Bombyx mori: one gene and its partner. The protein of the gene in region 1 interacts with the protein of each later gene in a biochemical or structural test. Links are inferred from orthologs where the notes say so. Each region holds a gene or a part of one and is shown on either strand. Other genes may lie near its edges.

The links. The genes of interacting proteins can lie anywhere in the genome.
Region 2: of the proteins of synembryn (region 1) and Go, one has a biochemical effect on the other in vitro, tested with the Caenorhabditis elegans proteins (2 studies listed by BioGRID). The link is inferred for Bombyx mori from reciprocal best matches to the Caenorhabditis elegans genes ric-8 and goa-1.

Annotation. Positions count from the first base shown.
Region 1 is NC_085119.1:6,705,288-6,711,017, forward strand, and holds the start of synembryn, read right to left. Parts: upstream 3,570-5,730; 5' UTR 3,372-3,569; coding exon 3,288-3,371; intron 3,206-3,287; coding exon 3,066-3,205; intron 2,596-3,065; coding exon 2,124-2,595; intron 1,576-2,123; coding exon 1,370-1,575; intron 1,023-1,369; coding exon 884-1,022; intron 225-883; coding exon 1-224. UniProt on the Caenorhabditis elegans protein: Chaperone that specifically binds and folds some, but not all, nascent G alpha proteins prior to G protein heterotrimer formation, promoting their stability and activity.
Region 2 is NC_085125.1:9,525,015-9,530,933, reverse strand, and holds the start of Go (G protein alpha subunit Go), read left to right. Parts: upstream 1-2,479; 5' UTR 2,480-2,614; coding exon 2,615-2,732; intron 2,733-5,919. UniProt on the Caenorhabditis elegans protein: Guanine nucleotide-binding proteins (G proteins) are involved as modulators or transducers in various transmembrane signaling systems. In the 1-cell embryo, probably together with gpa-16, controls nuclear rotation and spindle elongation during mitosis.

The DNA of each region.
Region 1 (5,730 bases):
ACGAACAAGAACTCCGCTACCAAGTCCCTCACGCTGGTGACGGGCGTCGTCAGCAGCCGGCACAGGTGGTTCCGCAGCTCGTCGCCCTGCTCGGGGGGCTTCGACACGTCGCGGAGATGCGGCAGCACGGCTTTACGTAAGAACTTACGTTGGACGCGTACACGGGCACATTTATTGAGGACCGTCAATATCGGAGATAGTTTTTCGTAAAGGTTCTGTCGCTCCTATAAAAAAAAAAAAAAAATTTTGCCCTTGTAGGCAGACGAGCAAACGGCCCACCTGATGGCGAGTTGTTACCGTCGTCCATGGACTTCAGGAATGCCAGGGGCAAAGCCAAACCGCTGTCTACCGTTTAATGCTCTCCACAAGCCTCGTTGGAAAAAGGACATGTCATAGAGCTCGGGAAACATCATAGAGGGGAGTTCATTCCAAAGCCAGATGGTATATGGCAAAAAAGATCTCTGGAATCGCACTGTGGATGAATGCAGTGGTTCTAAGTTCTAATATAGAAATAACTTAGCACCTTTTATAGGAAGTGGTCATATTAATATTTCATCATAATCATTATCAGTCTATAGCAGTCCACTGCTGGACATAGACCTCTCCCATTGCATGCCACTGAGCACAATAATAATATTTACTTTTTTATAATTGATGAATACCGAAAGTTCCAACTGAATAAATTATTCTTAATAGTATGTTGCATGAAGATCGGGCGGCATAAACATAAATATCAACATGTGGGCACGAATTAACACATTTCAGATAGTGCTTAAGTATGCTGAAATATATGGGGAGGCAACTAAGTATACATTAACTTTGACAACTACAAGAAACATTAACTTTCCTATAATATATTTTGTAATAACATTGGATTACTTACATCGCTAGCAGTTAGCTGATGTTTCAAAAATTGAAGTAGTATGACCAGTGAAGTCATATCTCTACCTTCATAAATATGGTCAGGCTTTTGTTTGTCTCCAATTTCTTCTGTCAGGGACATATAAAACAGTGTGTGGATGCTGAAATTTGAAAGTAGAAACATTGAACTGGTGGTTAAAAATTACCAGTGGTAGGGCATCTTGTGAGTCCGCACAGGTAGATACCACTACCCTTCCTATTTCTGCAATGAAGCAGTAATGTGTTTTGATTTGAAGGGTGGGGCAGCCATTGTACTTTAGAAATTGAGACCTTAGAACTCATGTTTCAAGGTACCCACCTTGTTGACATGTAAGCTGTAGATGTCTATGGGCTCCGCTAACCACTTAACATCAGGTGCACCCTGAACCCCTCCGTCCATTTAAAAAATATAAAACTTTTATAATTTAATCTTTTAAACTTATTTTAATTGTTATCAAAAATATAATACCTTGTTAGTAGATTAACAATATTATTCATTAAATCTAAATCATTTGATTTGGAGGAGGTTTGTACAGTCATTATCTTCCCAAGCACAGACACCAAGTTTGTAAATTGTTGTTTCTCTTTCTCTGTTGTGGGAGTATCTTCATTAGGCAATATTATGAGGTTAAATAAAGCCTTCGATAACTCGCACACAATTACTCGATCTTCATCCTGTAAGAGAATTTAAATATTTAATCGTTTTAATTTTATGTAAAAATGCTTCTTTATTCATGTTTTAAAAGAAAATTTTACAACCATGTCAGATTGTTTCTTTAAACAAGATATCCCAAAATTTAATGATAACATTTGTAATCCATAATGCAATGAAACTTAATTTATATTAATTACTAAATTAGCAATGTTTATTACATTGATTTGTAATTTCAATTAATGGTATGGTGGTAACTAAATGACAAGGATTTTTTTCTCTAGTATAACTTTGCCTTTCACCTGGTTTTCATTGAGTTTTGAAATACCCTGTATATTTATATGTTTAATTAAAAGTATTCAATATCACTGATAAACAATTTACCTTATGAACAGCATTAACTATTAATCATATTTTAATAAATTGTCATAAGCTTAATGTTATATGACAGGCACTACTAGCCAACATTTTACATTTAATAATCACAAGTGTTCATGTTTAAAATTTTCTTATAACTAGGTATACACACTAGGTTAACTACTTATTTCCCAACATTAATTAAAAAACTTACAGTGAAGTAATATTTTGGAGCATCTTCTGAATTTGCACTAACACTCGCCTCATCAGAACTAGGTTGTAAACTTTCAGAATATATTTCATTGAGATAATTAATCATATGCATTGCACCATCCTCGTGCCTAAATTTTAATCTTATGTTTTCTATTAATGCTGTCAGTATGAAGATCAATTTCATATCATACTGCATTAACTCTTTTTTGTAAGGAATGTGTTTGCATATTTTCATTCGTGTGATAAGCCCATGTGCTATTCTTGTGTTTACACAAACATTACGAGCCAGTTCACTATTGAATGTAATATTACACAAACACTTCATAGCTTCAATCGCTACTTCTTTACAGGGCACGACTAATAGAGTTGGGTCCTTTTCAGCAGACTCCATAGGCTCTAACAAGCCTGATTTGTCGATTAATGTTATGACCCAACGTTCACATAGAACATTTTCAATGTCATCTTGGTCACGGCTAAAATTATACATAAAATTTAATTTCATCCTACATATACAGGGTCTCAAGAGACTATTCTGAAAGTCGAAATGGTAATTAGTTACTATCAACAGTGAATAATTATAGAGACAAATATGAAATTACTTTATTTAAATCAATAATGAGAGTTATCATGTTAAATGTATTTTGGTACACACAGCATAAAGCAAAGGCAGGCCAGCAAATTCCCCCTTGTTCTCATGAGACCATACATTTCTTATATCAATTGAATTATAATTATTTTAAAATGCCTATTATTAAAAAAAAAAAATGATGGAAGGGTGTGTCGTGAGCCCGCATGGGTAGGTACCACCACCCTACCTATTTCCTATTTTCTTCTTTCAGAATCACCAGCTCTACTACATGGATTTTCAGGAATGGTTATTCCAGTTCCAATTGTTACAGTCAGTAGAATTTCAAAAAGATTATTATTGTTAGTTAACACAAACCTAAGAATCCTTAAAGCTTTTAAACATAGTGCATGTGTTGAAACCAAAGCATCATTTTGCAGGTGTTGAAAAAGTGTTGTCCACAGTAAAACTCTGTTAAACCTCTTCGTAAGTTCAGGAAATTTGAAAGTTTTTTCGTTCTGAGAAAATTAGATTATTAGATTAACATTCTGTTGGAATTACCAATATACCAAAGAATCCACAGAAATTATTCTCACTCACGTCTTTAACAAATTTTCGTAAAATATTCGTTATCTCTGTTGAGCTCTTACTATTTCTCAGGTCATCAATTTCCATTTCATCCATTTTCTGGTGTGTAATTCAAATTTATTCACTATTTAATTTAAAGTGTACACTCTAATTAACTTATTAGACTACCAATATCAATAAAGTTTTTAAATTGAAATTTCGAATCGAATTATCAAATGCAAATATTGACACCTAATTCTCGAATATATTAAGTGTATAATCTATGCACCTAATGTATTATCGGAGTAGCACGTTCGTCTATGTCACTTTATGTAGGTTTAAAGTTTTAAAGGGGTGAATGAAGTTAGCCCCTCAAAAAAATTTTTTTTTCCTGTTTTCTACTTATTTTCTATTAATTCGTTTGTTCATCATTTGTTCTTGATTGTTCACTGTTAATAATTGTTTGTTCCCCATTTATTTATTTTAAAAAAAATATTAAAAATATATCTAAAAGCTAGCCCCTCGATTGCAATTTTTAATATTTTTTCGTCCTTAATTACTCGTAAATATTCATTTTCGATTGTTCTTATATAAAATACGTTTGTTCTTTTTCGAAATTACTCATTTTTTGTTTAATTAATTGTATTAGTTGAATAAATGTATACAAAATATGTGTACTGCGCATGCCATAAGTGTATAATCTATGGCGCATGCGTCAACTATAATGCCTAAACTTTCTACGCGGTTTTAATCGTGAAAAAAAAACAATTATAAATCCTGAAGGATCAATTAATTGGTATACAGTTTAATTAAAAAAATTAAAAAATAAATAAATAAAATAATGTGCATTCGCGTAAAGTTAGCCCAAATACATTTTTTCCATCCTCCTATATACCTATCGCTATGAAGGTATAAAAAAGATAGGTTAAGAGTTCACATAGGTAATATAAACAAATAAGTAAATATGTTCATTATTTATCTTTCAAGAGATAATGTAGGTATACATTATAATAACATTTTGACACAGTCGAAATTATATTCCTAACATTAGTAAAATAACATTTTAATAATTTTTTTATAGGTTATGTATTGAAATTGTTGGAAAATTATTTCATGTTTTAGCTGGAAAACTACATGGAGAATTATATGCAATACAAGATAATGAGCTCCATCAAATGAATTCGAATGAAACCAAACTGTTTACCATCCAAATTCGATTGTCGGGCAGATAGAAAACGAAAATTCACTCATAGTGAACCTCGGCCTGCATTTGTGAAACGGCAAAGACTCACTATTATCAAGGAAATTGAAGAGACGACTAAAAATGAGATGTGTCGTATTATTATACCTTTGCCATCTTGTAGTCAAGGTAGGTGTAACTGTCAATAATTAGTTACACTCACAGATCTCCTAATCAAATAACAATATCAGAAAAAATGAGAATAGTTAGTTAGTTAGTGGAAGTAGCCAAAATGGGCAAGTGGATCTCAGTTCCTATTACATAAGGTACTAAGAAGTTTGTGAAAATGAAAATTTATCAGTGTAATATCACTTACTTACTTTAACAGTGAAGGAAAACATTGTGATGAAACCTGCACACCTAAATATTCTTAGGATTTTCTTAGGTGTGTAATCCACCAACCAGCACTAGGCCAGCGTGGTGGACTAAGGTCTAAAAACCCTCTCAATGGTAGTGAAGGCCAGTGTCCAGCAAGGGGATATATTATATGGGCTGATGATGATGACTAGGAAGTTAAATACTACTACTACTACTACGACAGTACACATATAATCCTATATATTTACAAACTATACGTTTGTTGGAAATTGCTAACATTATTTCATATTTCCAGATGTCCAGCCACTTGAAAATAGGTGTAGTAATGACAAAGCTATCCAAGTAGCTCCAGCACAGGAACACAAAGGCAAGGCAAGTGTGTATTGCCACATCACCCCTTAATATATCTGAAGCAAGTATAAGTAAACAATCAGAACCAGCAAAAAAAAAACTGTTGTTCCTGAGGACAAATTTGACAGTGATGAGTCAAATGCACCAGCAACAGAAGGATCAACTGTTGACTATGAGTTATCTCTCTATATCTCCACTCCATCAAAGACTTGTGCACTTCAGACTATAGCTCTCAAGAAGACTAAAAAGTTGAAAAAATGAATGTGTTAACAACTTTATCTAAAGTGAAAAATAAACAACGTTTATATATTGGTCTTCCACAAGAATTATGTTTCATAATAGGCTTGATTGAGAAACATACAAATGTTTCTGAACAAAATATTATATTATGTCTGATGAGAATAACATTAAATAGAACATTCTCTCAATTGGCTGATGATTTCGATTTATCTGTAAGTCAAGCAAGCAATATATTTTTCAACAAACTCCCAGAAATTGCAAATGTAATATCACCCCTTGTTAGACTATAAAAAAAACAATACAATAAATATATATGCAGGAAGGATA
Region 2 (5,919 bases), on another chromosome or scaffold:
CTTCTGCTCCTTGGTAATGAAGCTTTCTCCTATCTCTTTCTATCATCCGTCATGCGCGCGCATATTGCCGGTTCGGGCTCTATTGACTAAAACCTCAGAGAGGGTTTTCAATATCGAAATATTTGAAATGCTTCTATGCTTGTTTATTTATTTTATTATTTTGTAGTTTAGCTTAGAGTTAAGTTTTTTATGTTACTATGATAGTAGTTTTTATTTATTGTATATATAACAATAATTTATAATATAATAACATTTAGAATTAATAAAAAATATAGTATTGTTCACTGTAGGTGGCTTTTAAAATCAATATGATGGGTCGCAAGCCCGTCTATCTTCTCATGTTCTAATAAAAAATTGTCAACATAATTGTGACCGTTCTAAATCAATATTAAGTAGAAAATGTAATTAATATATATTTGAGCTATAGTTAACCATATGAGCAGTTAATCAGAAAAAATATCACCTATTTTAATAATTATTGTTTTCTCAATTTGATCAATAACTTTCCTTAGCTCAAAACCAAGAAAGGTTTCATCTGCGTTTCATACGTAGGTAAAATTTACATGTATTAATTTTGATAGTAGCTTTACTAACACAGGTTTGTTTTGAATACGAACTGTGATTTTATAGTTTTCATAACACAAAAAAAATACGGGTATTAAGAATAATACCCCAAATTTAATTATTTTTTTGTTTTTAGAAAAGGTTCAGGTTGACATGAAAATTATTTAGAAATATAACATTTTTAATTAGGTTTTTTTGTTCCGGAAGATCAAATTTGATTAGGTGAATTAAGTTACATAGGTACTCCTCTAATTCCGCAATGTTATGCATATACACACCACAAGAACATGAAGCTCTAGATTCAACATCAGGCTCATATTAGTACACCAGTAAATAATCAATGAAGTTCTATATTATTTAAATTGAGATACTTATTCTAATGAGATAATTCTGAAGTCTGAAAGCCTTTATAGTACTTACTTTATTCATAGCACAAGTGACAGGCACATTTGATTAGTTACATTCGACTATTTTGCCTACCTTTCATGATTTTTATGAAATTATGAATTATGGTTTGGTAAGTTGGCTGCTATAGATCTCAATAGAGTTAGACCTCATATCTGAAGGCGCAATTCACTTTGTGATGTCTATAGACTCTTCTTCTTTTCGTACCCATCTCGTGCAATAAAAAAATAATGTCTACCTTTTAAGGACCAGATATAATTTTTTATGATTTTATTGAGTCGTCATGTTAGGATGAACGACGAAATTAAAAGACCCAATATATGAAATAATCAAACGAAAAACTTTGTCTTGTCGATTTCAAAGTGAATCAGTTTGATTTTTCAATGTGTTACTATGGTGGGAGTAGTAAAACCTTTGAAAATTTATTGTCAATAGAATCAAACATCGAATGCTTTTGTAGTTAGGTACTCCCCGAATCCTGATCATGCAGGAGCCAGTCACCGTCGACGCCCTAGACACGTCCTTACGGATCCATCAGATCCAATAACCTTCGCACTAGACGCCTTCAGCTCTAGGAGCAGGCTTAGGGACCTCGTTAACCGTACTCGTCGAACTCGACAAAGAGTTCGCCGTGCAACCTAACCCATGAATCAGCTCGCTGAGTTTCTCGCCGGATCTTCTCAGCGGGTCGCGATTCCGATCCGGTAGTAGATTCATTCGCGAAGCAGCTGCTCTTGAGCTGTTAGGTCTCCTTCGGAGGCGCTCGGGTAGCTGTTAGCAAATCCCACCCCTCCTGGCTGAGCCTTTGCTCGCCCACCTGTCCTGGTGAAACTGGAAAGGCCTCCGGGCCACCAGTAATCCTTCAATCATAAAAAAAAAAAAAAAAAAAAAAGTTAGGTACTATAATATTATTTAAAATTTAGACAATTCTTGTTACGTATATAGAATACAGGAATTATTTCTCCTTCTGTGAAAATGAAATGCTGCAATTTTATGGCGATATTCTGACATATATCGAGTACATTAAGATCAATTGCAAGAATTAAGAAAGCAATTTTTGGACCTGATTAAAAATATTGGAAAACAAAATTCAAGGCCAGATAATTGAATTTACCGGTTGTGACAAAAAAAAAGTGAATAATTGTCTTTGGTCATTGTTCAATTAAAGCGCAATGTTTTATTGCGTTTGTTCTCTTTCGTGTGTAGTATTGTCACGCATGTGTGAGCGAGCTCGAACGAAGAATTCCGAAAGGATCCGAACGTCAGTCGAGCGGGGCGCGGTCGCTGTCACGGAGTGGAGTTGGTGCCTGTCATCCGGCCGCCATTATCTCGCATTTGAACGAGTTCGTAAAATCAATTTAAGTTCGCGTTCCCGTCAAGGGTATTCTGTGCCGGGAGCATTCTAAAATCGATAGATTTGTTACGGTGCATCTACTTGTTGGAGGAAAGTGATAATACGGATTGTACGATCAGTGAAAAGTGGTACTGTTAGGTTCGTGTATTGGGTGCTAATATCGTGTAGGGTGGCTCCGGTAGTGCCGGAGCGACAGGACGCGTGTAGAGCGCATGCTGAGAGATCGGTGAGAGCGCGCCCGGCTCGGGAGTCGGGGCGGCCTGCGGCCATAGCATAGGGAGAACTGCCGATATGGGGTGCGCCCAGTCGGCCGAAGAGCGTGCAGCGGCTGCTCGAAGCAAATTGATCGATAAGAACTTGAAAGAGAATGGTATTCAGGCATCAAAAGACATCAAGCTATTGTTGTTAGGTATGGTATTTTACAGTTGTTTCATGTCAACATTTGGCCGCACCCATGTAGTTCCTTTAAACGTAATTTAAAGACTTCGACGACGTTTTCATAGCCCCGTTACCGCTCAACTCTTTTAACTATTTCTGTGCTAGTTTCTGTAGTTCGGTAATGAATTCTAAGTACTTTCTCTCATAATGAATCTAATCACCATATTACAGTGCATGTGTAGTTCTATGTGTAATCGAAAGTTCTATTTTGTTAAACAGGACGAAACAAAATCATTTTAAAGGCATACAAGAGTATAATTATCTCTTCAAAATACATGCACAATTAATGTTACATTCCTCCAGTAATCGTTTATTTATCTTTAAATGTGTATTTTATGTTAAAGGCCAATATGTTATGATTTTGTTGCTATCAATGCCCATTTAATAAATCATTCTCGGTGTTTTAAGTTCTAAAATGGATTGGAAAACGAACTTGATGGTCAAAAATAAGATATTTTTCACTGAATTTCATTGAATTAACCTACTGTTTATATTCTCAACAAAATCATCCAAATGAACTAAGAAGACGAAAAAGAAAAGATAGATTTATTGTATGTTAATAAATCATATACATCCTCACCATCACCATCAACTCACATTAGGATACCCATATTGGCCATCAGCACCAAATGTTCCTTCATAGATATAAAAATAATGTATTGTCGCTAAAAGAAATTTATTGTACTTAAATATATTTTTTGTTCTTCTGTATGTCTTTTACCAAAGCTTATTTTGGTAAAATAAGTAACTAGTATAGATTAGCAATATAATAACATGAGAACCATCTCATGTATTATATGCTAAACATATTTACACACATAAATACCAATTTATGTGTGTAAATATGTCTCTAACATAGATAAGTTTTAAAAGTGTAGAACTTTCAAAACTTATCAACTAAAATGTTTTGTAAACATTCAACAATTTAAAATTGTATTTTACCATGGCTGGTTCCATTAACCTGTTGACAAAATTTTGAACCCTTGCCAATACTCTTCGGTTCACATCCATTCATGAATAGTTTTACTCTAGAATGATGTAATAGTAGTAGTATTATTTTATGTATTTCAGTTTTTGTATTCTTTAAGCCTATTTAAATTCATTAATTGCTATATATTTAACATTAGATATAGCTATTACATATAAGAGTTCTACTATTACCACAAACTATTAAAAAGACGAGCAAAAAATCTAGAAAAGTCATATAATCAGTACAAATTAAATGAAAACAAACCTTTTGTCACCAAAATCTGAAATTTCAATCTATCAGTGAGTTTATTTGTATATTAGCCAAAATGTTGTGTCACAGCAAACTGTTTTCAAAGATATATCTAAACAATAATGAGAGAACCAAATGAATGCAAAATCAATGTAACTCATTTCAAATATATGAAAAAATATTGTCATATAGCAAAACAAAAATTATTAAAATAGCCTACAAGCTATCTCCATGTTTAAAAATAGATTAAATAGAAAGCTATCTAGTTTTAAATGAAACAGAAATTTTGTTCAAGTAGTGTTTACCCAATGGTTAAAATTCAAAAGTAGTCAGTCACTGACACTTTCAAGAAGTATTTGCATTTTTTTTATTGATCTCACTAAAGGTATCAAACAAAAAATACAACAGAACCGTTTTGTTTTGCCTACGACTTATAAAATACAAATAAATTACTATATTAAATTGACTGTTAAATATAAAATAGTAATCAAACCTATGCTTTTGCCTTTGTTCCGAAGAATGGTTCATAGACAAAACTGAGAATATGCTGACATAATAAACAAAATATTTAATCCTTTCCCATGTAAATAGTCATTAATCATAAATTAATATAATAAGAATTGTATGCTTAGTCATGACCCTAATATGAATCATTTGGGTTTTCCTCAGTTCATTAGCATAAGTAATTACATAAGCTCAAAATGCTGTCTTAAAAATTATCATAAATTTAAATATTCACAAGTAAATATGAAAATGTAAATACAGTAAATCAGATTCACCTACCTTTTTGACTAACTTCATAAATTTAAAAACACAAATTTATGAAAAAATGCGCAAGAACATTGACTTTTAGTGATTATTATACAATGTCACAGATTGTGACTCACTCTATCTTAATTAATGATCTAGGAATTTGGAGGTGATTTTTTGTGTAGAAACCTAGAAAGTAGTGTACATCTAGATTCAAGTAATTATGTCTATTTCTGCTGTTGCAGCAGTCGTGTTCCAGATTGATGGGTGGATCATCCTTTACGCCAGGGGCTCTCAAACTTATTTTGTCTACTTCCCACCTTGAGATTAAATAATTTTTTAGCACTCCTATTTTTTCACCTATTTAAAAACCACTATAGTGAGAGCTCAGCCGGTGTCTAAGAGTCCTAGATGAAATTACAAATCGCCTCCCAAGCCTTTACACAATGCCCCCCTTTTTTTGGGTCTTTTACCGCCCCCGTTTAGGCCTGCAGCGACCAGAAGGGGGCGTTATCGCAAAGATGCAATTAAATTGAGTCTGTGACCTCATGTCTTAATTTTAATGCCAGCATTACTTTCTATGTCTGTGATTTTTGGTAAATACATAATACCATGTAGGCCATGAACACTTTCATCCTACTATAATATAAAAATTAAATGTAGCGCATTTTTGTCGAATTAGAATTTTCACATAATTATTTTAACTAGTGTACGCCCAATGTTCGAAATTCGACCTTAATAACTGACATCTCAAGGTCTAGATTCGTTTTCGGCTTATATTTTCTCTTTAGATCGGTTTATTTTGAAAGGAAACCTGGTCAATGGCTTTAATGTTATGAAATTAAGAAAAGAAAGATTATTGGCTAAGAAACAGGAAAAAAGCGGTACTTAACTGTTTTGTCTTTTCCTATTCATAAATGATACACAATTTATTTTTATGATACCCCTCATGTAGATAGTAATAATCGTGTGATTAAGATTTTTAGTTGATTCAATAATTTGAATATATTTAACCATAAATATATTTGTGATCTAAAAGAATACACATGCTAGCTAATAAGCTATACGATATAATACGATATACCTAATAAGGTATATCGTTCGTAATTCTTACGAAGTTAATTGATCTGTCACGTCATGATGTCGTGGCCATGGTGCGTACCAATCCGACCATGAACATCGTTGCTTG